Macaca fascicularis: one gene and its partner. Each later gene encodes a partner of the first gene's protein in a complex. Links are inferred from orthologs where the notes say so. Each region holds a gene or a part of one and is shown on either strand. Other genes may lie near its edges. The genes, in order: THOC3 and THOC6.

Region 1 (3,301 bases):
AAAACTGAATTTGAAATATAACGATACAAACAATAAGCAAAATAATGTTTTATAAAATCTATAAGATTTATAAGTACATAAATAAGTTGTAATAAAAACTCCAGGAATAATGTTCCCATGAACGCTTCCCGAGGAATCTTAACTAGAGAATGAGCTTCAATAAAAAAAATGACTCAAGACTTATAAGGACTGGTGCTGAACACTGAATATAGAGTTTCTTGCAAAAACTATACATGGTTTAAAGGGAGGGTATAATATGTAACAGCTGCACACTCCTACAACATATAGTACTATTTTTTTTAATGGGGGAAGAATGCAAAGAGTGTATGCAAAAAGCAAAAACATTTTTTGTTTCAAGTCATCACATTGGTGGTAGTGGCAGTAATATTGTTATTCAGAGACATCTGTATGTTTACCACGGGATACAGGTAATAAGTAACCATCGGATATTCTAATTCTATGATCCCTTGTGCCCTTGAGAACCAGAATACTCAATTTGGAAGGGAAGAAATATATTTGTAATATAGATGAGGTTTAATAAAATCCCCGGAGTCCTCAATTTTAATTGGAAGTTATCAATGTGAGTTCACAAGGTATTTTATCTTTATATACATACACACACACACACACACGTAATTCCTAGGCCAACCCAACGGTAATGAACATTCCTAACTTCAGTATGATTTCTCAGTGAAAGAATGTAAGGCCTCCTTTTTTTTTTTTTTTTTGAGGTGGAATCTCACTCAGTCGCCCAGGATGCTGGAGTGCAGTGGCACAATCTAAGCTTACTACAACCTCCACCTCCCGGGTTCAAGCGATTCTCCTGCCTCAGCCTTCCAAGTAGCTGGGATTACAGACCTGCATCACCACGCCCAGCTAATTTTTGTATTTTGAGTAGAGACGGGGTTTCTCCATGATTGCCAGGCCTCAAGTGATCCACTCACCTCGGCCTCCCAAAGTGCCAAAGTGCTGGGATTACAGGTGTGAGCCACGACACCCAGCCAGAATGTTAAGGCTTCTTGGAGAATTTTCTGATTAAAGGTCTGGGGCAAGATTGTACAAGATGAACTTGAAACATCTTATCAAACCAGAGAGCAAAAAACAGAAGATGACTGGGATTATGTCAAAAAAGGGCTTAAGAACCAACTTGAAGACGTTTTTATTGGCCAAAGATGGGATAATTTGAGCTTCAATAGGCGTAACAATTACAAGAGATGGAAACACATCAACTATGTTTAAAAACACGAGCCCATAATGATTTAAAAAAAAACAAAAAACAAACCTAACTGGTCATCTTTGGAGGCAGCAGGAAACGAAATCATCATCTGACAAACAGAATCAAAATTTTATCCTGCCTTCCCTAGATGAACTGCACTACTGGGTAACCAAATTGCAGACAAGAAGCAGCATCTCTTTATACAACAGTCCAACATATACACAGCACATGGAATCAGCAAAAGCCAAACTGGGAGAATCTCCACAGGTTACCAGTCTGGTTTTTCAGCAGCTATGTTTTAGCAAGTTTCTTTTGAGTAATTTAAGAGACACAAAAGACGTATCAATTTTTTTTTTAAATGAGCAAAACTAGGGTATCTAGGGGCTGTACATGTGGTAGAAAAACTACGAAGAATCACCATAAAAGTCAGGATAGTGTTCGCTTTTGTGGAAGGGAGTTGTAATTAGGACAAAACACCTGGATGGACTTCTAGGGTGGCTGGAAAGAACTACTCCTCGACTTGAGCAGGGCTGCACAAGAGTTAAGCCTATAAGAGTTCGTTAAGCTACACATTTGTGTTATGTGGTTTTCAATATCTGTGTTTTATAATAAAAAGGTTTTTCTTAAAAAATTATAGAATCCCCATTGCCTACAAAATAAAATCCAAGATACTAGGCATAAAATAAAGGCCTTTTATAATCTGGTCCCAAATCAGACTTCATCTTCCCATTATCATGCCCTCTCTTATTTCCCTTATCTGCCAGCATGCCCCCAACAACCCTGACCGAACTACTCTGCAAATAAGTCATGCTCACTCATGCCTGCTTTTTCACTTATATGTTTCCCTTTTGCTTATTCTTCAAATTCTGCTTATCTTTCAAGATAAAGTTCACAAGCTCCCTCCTTCAACTCCCCACGGAACATATCTCACTTGGCCTCACATTGATCACCTGGGATAGTGGAAGGCTAGAATTAAACAGATCTGAATTTCAGCTCCACAATTTCATTCATTTAGAGAACAAACATTCACTAAGATCCTTCTATGTGGAGCAGGTGCAGGACTAGACATTAGGGATTCAACACTAAACAAGGCAAACACCATCCCCACCATCATGGAATTCACAGTCTAACAGGAGACATGGGCAAATAACCATGCAATTACAACCAGAAGGAAAGTGCTTCCTACAGAAAGTACATAAAGTAAGCCTCTAACCTACCTCTAACCTTGGGGTAGCGGGAGAGCTTCCCCTGAAGGGAAAGTGATATTTAAGTTGAAACTTTAAGAGTACGAATTAGCCAGTTGGGTGCGGTGGTTCACGCCTGTAATCCCAGCACTTTGGGAGCCGAGGTGGGTGGATCACCTGAGGTTGGGAGTTGGAGACCAGCCTGACCAACATGGAGAAACTCTAAACTACAAAAAATACAAAATTAGCCAGGTGTGGTGGGGCACGCCTCTAATCCCAGCTACTCGGGAGGCTAAGGCAGAAGAATAGCTTGAATCCAGGAGGCGAAAGTTGCAGTGAGCCGAGATCGCGCCATTGCACTCCAGCCTGGGCAACAAGAGCAAAACTCCGCCTCAAAAAAAAGAGGGTATGAATTAGTCATAATTCAAGGTGCATCCAGTTCCAGCAAACACTAGCTGACTACTGATGTAACCTCTCACCCTCAGATCCTCATCTGTCAAATGAGAAGCAAACCATCAACTCCTAGAATTTCTGTAAGGACTCAGTAAAATATAAAGTATATAAAATATACAGCTCAAATGTACTTAAAACAGGTTAGGATTCTATTTGTGTTTTAAGCTCCTTCAGGATAGGCTCACATCTAATTCATCTCCGTATCTGGCACAGCACCCAGCACAAAGATATGACAGTCCCCTAAGCTAGACCCCCTCACCTGAGGATGTTGATACAACCATTGCCATTTGTCAGGAAGAACATGTTGTTGTCATTGTTCCAGGAGATTTCGTTGACCTCGAACTTGAACTGCTCTTCTGCTTTGGAACGGTGTGTCTTGGCATCAATAAAGGTCACCACATCATCTTTGTTGCCTACAGCAATGGTCTGCCCATCAGGACTCCAGCAG
Region 2 (4,558 bases), on another chromosome or scaffold:
GCTGCCGATGCCACAGCTCCTTACACCCCTTCAAAAGGGAAAATACCAGTTGACCTCAAAGGCTCTCTCTGGGTCCCGGCACCCCAGCCCTTTCCCGAGCTCAACTCCTTACCTTCTTGAGCATCTCCGCCCAAAGCCAGGCCTTCACCTCCCCATCCCCAGCACTAAGCAGATGTCGATCGGTGGAGACCATGCTATAGACAGGCCCATCATGGGCTAAAGAGAAATGCAGAACTGAGTTGACCAATTCCACCCAAAGTCCCGAAGCCAGACTCCACAGCTATACCCACCTTGGAAAGTCACCACCGGCTTCTTACTTTCCTCTTTGGCTTCGGAGCTCAAAGCAGCGGACAAGCTGCAGGGGACAGCGGAGGGGACCCAGGAGTCAGAAACAGGGACATCCGTCCCATGAGGGCCAAGTGCCAGGGCTAATGGGTGGACAGCGGCAGAGGGTACCTGAAGATGGCAATCTGCCCATAATTGTTGCCAGCCGCCAGAAACTTCCCACACGGTGAGACACTCTGGGAGAAGATGGTCATATGGAGCCGCTGCAAGGCCTGGAACACCTCTGTCTGCAGGGAAGAACTGGATGAGGCCTGCCTGGGATGTATGAAACCTCCCAGCCACAGACTCCTTCCTGCTTCCCCCAACACCTGCCAGGCTTCCCACTGTCCTGACTTCTCAGCCCTCTTTTGAGGCGGCCCGGCCCCAAGCCAGCACTTGCCCATGCAGTCCCATGGGCGGCTCCAAGAAGACACTGAAGAAGGGGCGAGTCGAGGTGATGCCTCAGGGACCTCTGAGCAAGCACCCAGCACTCTCCTACCAGCTTCCTCAACTGTCAAGTGGAGCTCACAGAAGATTCCATCACCATTAGATGAGCTAGTGTATAGACAAGAGCTTTCCATGGGGCTGTCACTCAGTGCTGAAGCCGGGTGTGGTGGCTCATGCCTGTCATCCACTGCTTGGGGAGGCCAGGAGTTCGAGAGCAGCCTGGTCAAAATAGTGAGACTCCGTCTCAACAAAAAATTTAAAAATGTGGGGCCGGGCGCAGTGGCTCACGCCTGTAATCCCAGCACTTTGGGAGGCCGAGGTGGGCGGATCACCTGAGGTCTGGAGTTCCAGACCAGCCTGACCAACATGGAGAAACCCATCTCTACTAAAAATACAAAATGAGGCCGGGCGCGGTGGCTCAAGCCTGTAATCCCAGCACTTTGGGAGGCCGAGGCGGGTGGATCACGAGGTCAGGAGATCGAGACTATCCTGGCTAACATGGTGAAACCCCGTCTCTACTAAAAATACAAAAAACTAGCCGGGCGTGGTGGCGGGCGCCTGTAGTCTCAGCTACTTGGGAGGCTGAGGCGGGAGAATGGCGTGAACCCGGGAGGCGGAGCTTGCAGTGAGCCGAGATCACGCCACTGCACTCCAGCCTGGGAGACACAGCGAGACTCCGTCTCAAAAAAAAAAAAAAATAAATAAAAAATAAAAAAAATAAAAAAAATAAAAAAAAATAAAAATACAAAATGAGCTGGGAGTGGTGGCGCATGCCTGTAATCTCAGCTACTTGGGAGACTGAGGCAGGAGAACTGCTTGAATCTGGGAGGCGGAGGCTGTGGTGAACCAAGATGGAGCCATTGCACTCCAGCCTGGGCAACAAGAGTGAAACTTCATCTCAAAAAAAAAAATGGCCGGGCGCGGTGGCTCAAGCCTGTAATCCCAGCACTTTGGGAGGCCGAGACGGGCGGATCACGAGGTCAGGAGATCGAGACCATCCTGGCTAACACGGTGAAACCCCGTCTCTACTAAAAATACAAGAAAATTAGCCGGGCGAGGTGGTGGGCGCCTGTAGTCCCAGCTACTCGGGAGGCTGAGGCAGGAGAATGGCGTGAACCCGGGGGAGTGGAGCTTGCAGTGAGCCGAGATCGCGCCACTGCACTCCAGCCTGGGGCACAGAGCAAGACTCTGTCTCAAAAAAAAAAAAAAAAAATGTGGCCAGGCATGGTGACTCACACCTGTAATCCCAGCACTTTGGGAGGCTGAGGCGGGAGGATCACCTGAGGTCAGGAGTTCGAGACCAGCCTGGTCAACACGGTGAAACCCTGTATCTACTAAAAACACAAAATTAGCTGGGCATGGTGGCACACGCCTGTAGTCCCAGCTACTCAGGAAACTGAGGCAGGAGAATCGCTTGAACCCAGGAGGCGGAAGTTGCAGTGAGCTGAGATCGTGCCACTACACTCTAGCCTAGTTGACAGAGTGAGACTCCGTCTCAAAAAAAAAAAAAGTGCTTTGCAGGAACTAGAAAATTAAAAAAAAAAATAGGGGTGGCTCTACTACCCCAACATAGAAAAACGTACTGATTTATAATCCCTACTCTCTGACTTGCGTTAAGCCCCTGAGGCACTTCTGGGTTACTCTCCCGCCCCCCGGTCAGCGTCTGAGTTCCACAAATAGCCCAGGCAAAATAGGACTCAAAGGGCACAATTCCCTGCCCGCCCCGTCCCAGCCATGAATGGACTACAAATCCCAGAAGGCAACGCGCCCCACGTCCGTCTCACCTGACCCAGCGGTACCGCGAGCGGCACAGCTCGCTCCATCTCCAGAACTACAAGTCCCAGAGTGCTTCGCGTGCGACGCAACTTCACGAGGCCTTACGTGCCTACAGCGGTTCCTCTCCGTGGCGCCCTACTGCCTTCGGCGCGAAGGGGGCTGCTGCGTACCGTCCTGAACCCCAGGAGCCGAGGTGAGCGCCGCGAAGACCCCCGACATTAAGAAGTGGTGTCCACCGCAGCCCCGCTAAGCCGGATACCCTCCCCCACCCCGAGGAGCAAGCCTGCCTTCCGCCACGCGCCGCCCTTCTTCGGCGCCCGCGCAGAACCTCGCCGCTGTGCCCGCCTAAAGCCACGCCCATCCTCGCTGGGCCACGCCCTCAGAGACTCCTCCCCTGTCGCCCAGATCCCACCCGCAGGACCCCAAAACCCAATGATCCTTCAGCAGCCCTTGGAGCGAGGCCCCCAGGGTGGGGCCCAGCGCCTCCCGCGGGCCGCCTTGGGGGTGACTCGGGGCCTGGACGCCAGGTGCGTGTGGGGGACCAGGGTGGGCCTGACCAAGGGCCGCAGGAGCTTTGGCTGGGTGCTCAGGGCTGGTCTGCAGGATGAACACGGGGTGGGGCGAATCGGTGGGGCTTAGGCGTGAGCTGAGATGGTATTGGGGCTGCAGTTCAGGGTCCAGACTTCCGAAGTACGCTGCTGGATGGCCCAGGAGAGGGGGGACCAGCACCAGCTGAGACAGTAATGGGCTTGGGGCTCCTGGCTGATGCTGCAGGCTCAGGCAGGCATATCCTTGGGAAGGGGCCAAGAGGGTGGGGTGCACCAGGCTCTCTTTTTTCCCCAGCTCCCCTCTCCGAGGAGCTGTGCCCATGAGCACCAAGCGGCGCCTGGAGGAGGAGCAGTGAGTTTGGGGGCAGGGAGGGACTCCCAACGAGAGCTCTGTCACCTCTGGTCCCCAACAGGCTGCCTCCTGTCTCAATATCCCAGCCTGCCTCTCTCCCATCTCTCCCCAGGGAGCCTCTGCGCAAGCATTTTCTGTCTGAGGAGAACATGGCCACCCACTTCTCTCAACTCAGCCTGCACAATGACCACCCCTACTGCAGCCCCCCCATGGCCTTCCCCCAAGCCCTGCCCCCACTCAGGTAGGCTCCTCCACTGGCCAGGCCTTCTGCAGAATCACAGGCGGTCCTCGCAGCTGACCTCAGGCCCTGCCTCATCGTGCCATTTTTAGCTCTAGCTGACCTCTGGGTTGTTTCTCATCTTCGCTCTTCGGAAAGTGCTGGGAACCCAGGAGTCCCTGGGGACCTGGACCTGGTGGGAGGTGCTCAGCTAGGCCAGCCTTAGCCCCATGCCCTGACAGTCATTTCTTCTTCTAGAAGCCCTTGCTCTGAGCTGCTTCTCTGGCGCTACCCTGGCAGCCTCATCCCCGAGGCCCTCCGTCTGCTGAGGCTGGGGGACACCCCCAGTCCCCCCTACCCTGCAACCCCAGCTGGAGACATAACGGAGCTCTGAGTGCTGGTGGACTGCCCCTCCCACCTTCCTTCTTCCCCACAACAGAAGAGACCAGCGACTCCTGCAAAGGGACAAGGTTCCTCCCTCTCCTGCAGACCAGGCATCTGGGCACCAAGACCTTCCCTCAACAGAGGACACTGAGCCCAACGGAGCTCTGGGATGGGAGGGGTGGGAGCATGGGAAGGGAGGCATCCCACCCCCAAGAAGAACTGAATAAAGATTGCTGAGCAAAGGAAGGCTTCAGTCTAGAACCTGGGGCTTTTGGGGATGGTGGAGAGGGCAGAGGTGCGGGATGCTGGGGTTTCTCCTCAAGATCTTCCCTGGAAAACTGTTAGGGCCAGCCAGGTCCTGGCCGGCTGAGTTCCAGGCATTGAGAATGTGTGAGTCAGAGCCTCACCCCCGCCCCCGCGGCTGGCTGACTCACTCCCTCCCTCCAGCTCAGGGGAGTCAGTCGGGGATCACTGCCTCTCCAAACCATTTAAAGTTAAAGATTCTTTTAT

What was found.
Region 2: THOC3 (region 1) and THOC6 share a complex: the UniProt entries of both Homo sapiens proteins name them as parts of the transcription/export (TREX) complex. The link is inferred for Macaca fascicularis from reciprocal best matches to the Homo sapiens genes THOC3 and THOC6.

Annotation. Positions count from the first base shown.
Region 1 is NC_088380.1:182,840,429-182,843,729, forward strand, and holds part of THOC3 (THO complex subunit 3), read right to left. Parts: coding exon 3,113-3,301; intron 1-3,112. UniProt on the Homo sapiens protein: Component of the THO subcomplex of the TREX complex which is thought to couple mRNA transcription, processing and nuclear export, and which specifically associates with spliced mRNA and not with unspliced pre-mRNA.
Region 2 is NC_088394.1:3,820,151-3,824,708, reverse strand, and holds the start of THOC6 (THO complex subunit 6), read right to left. Parts: upstream 2,879-4,558; 5' UTR 2,595-2,878; coding exon 2,556-2,594; intron 991-2,555; exon of another isoform or gene 721-990; intron 573-720; coding exon 457-572; intron 356-456; coding exon 291-355; intron 217-290; coding exon 113-216; intron 29-112; coding exon 1-28. Other genes in the region: HCFC1R1 (host cell factor C1 regulator 1), read left to right, coding at 2,980-3,074, 3,391-3,447, 3,560-3,688, 3,923-4,058. UniProt on the Homo sapiens protein: Component of the THO subcomplex of the TREX complex which is thought to couple mRNA transcription, processing and nuclear export, and which specifically associates with spliced mRNA and not with unspliced pre-mRNA.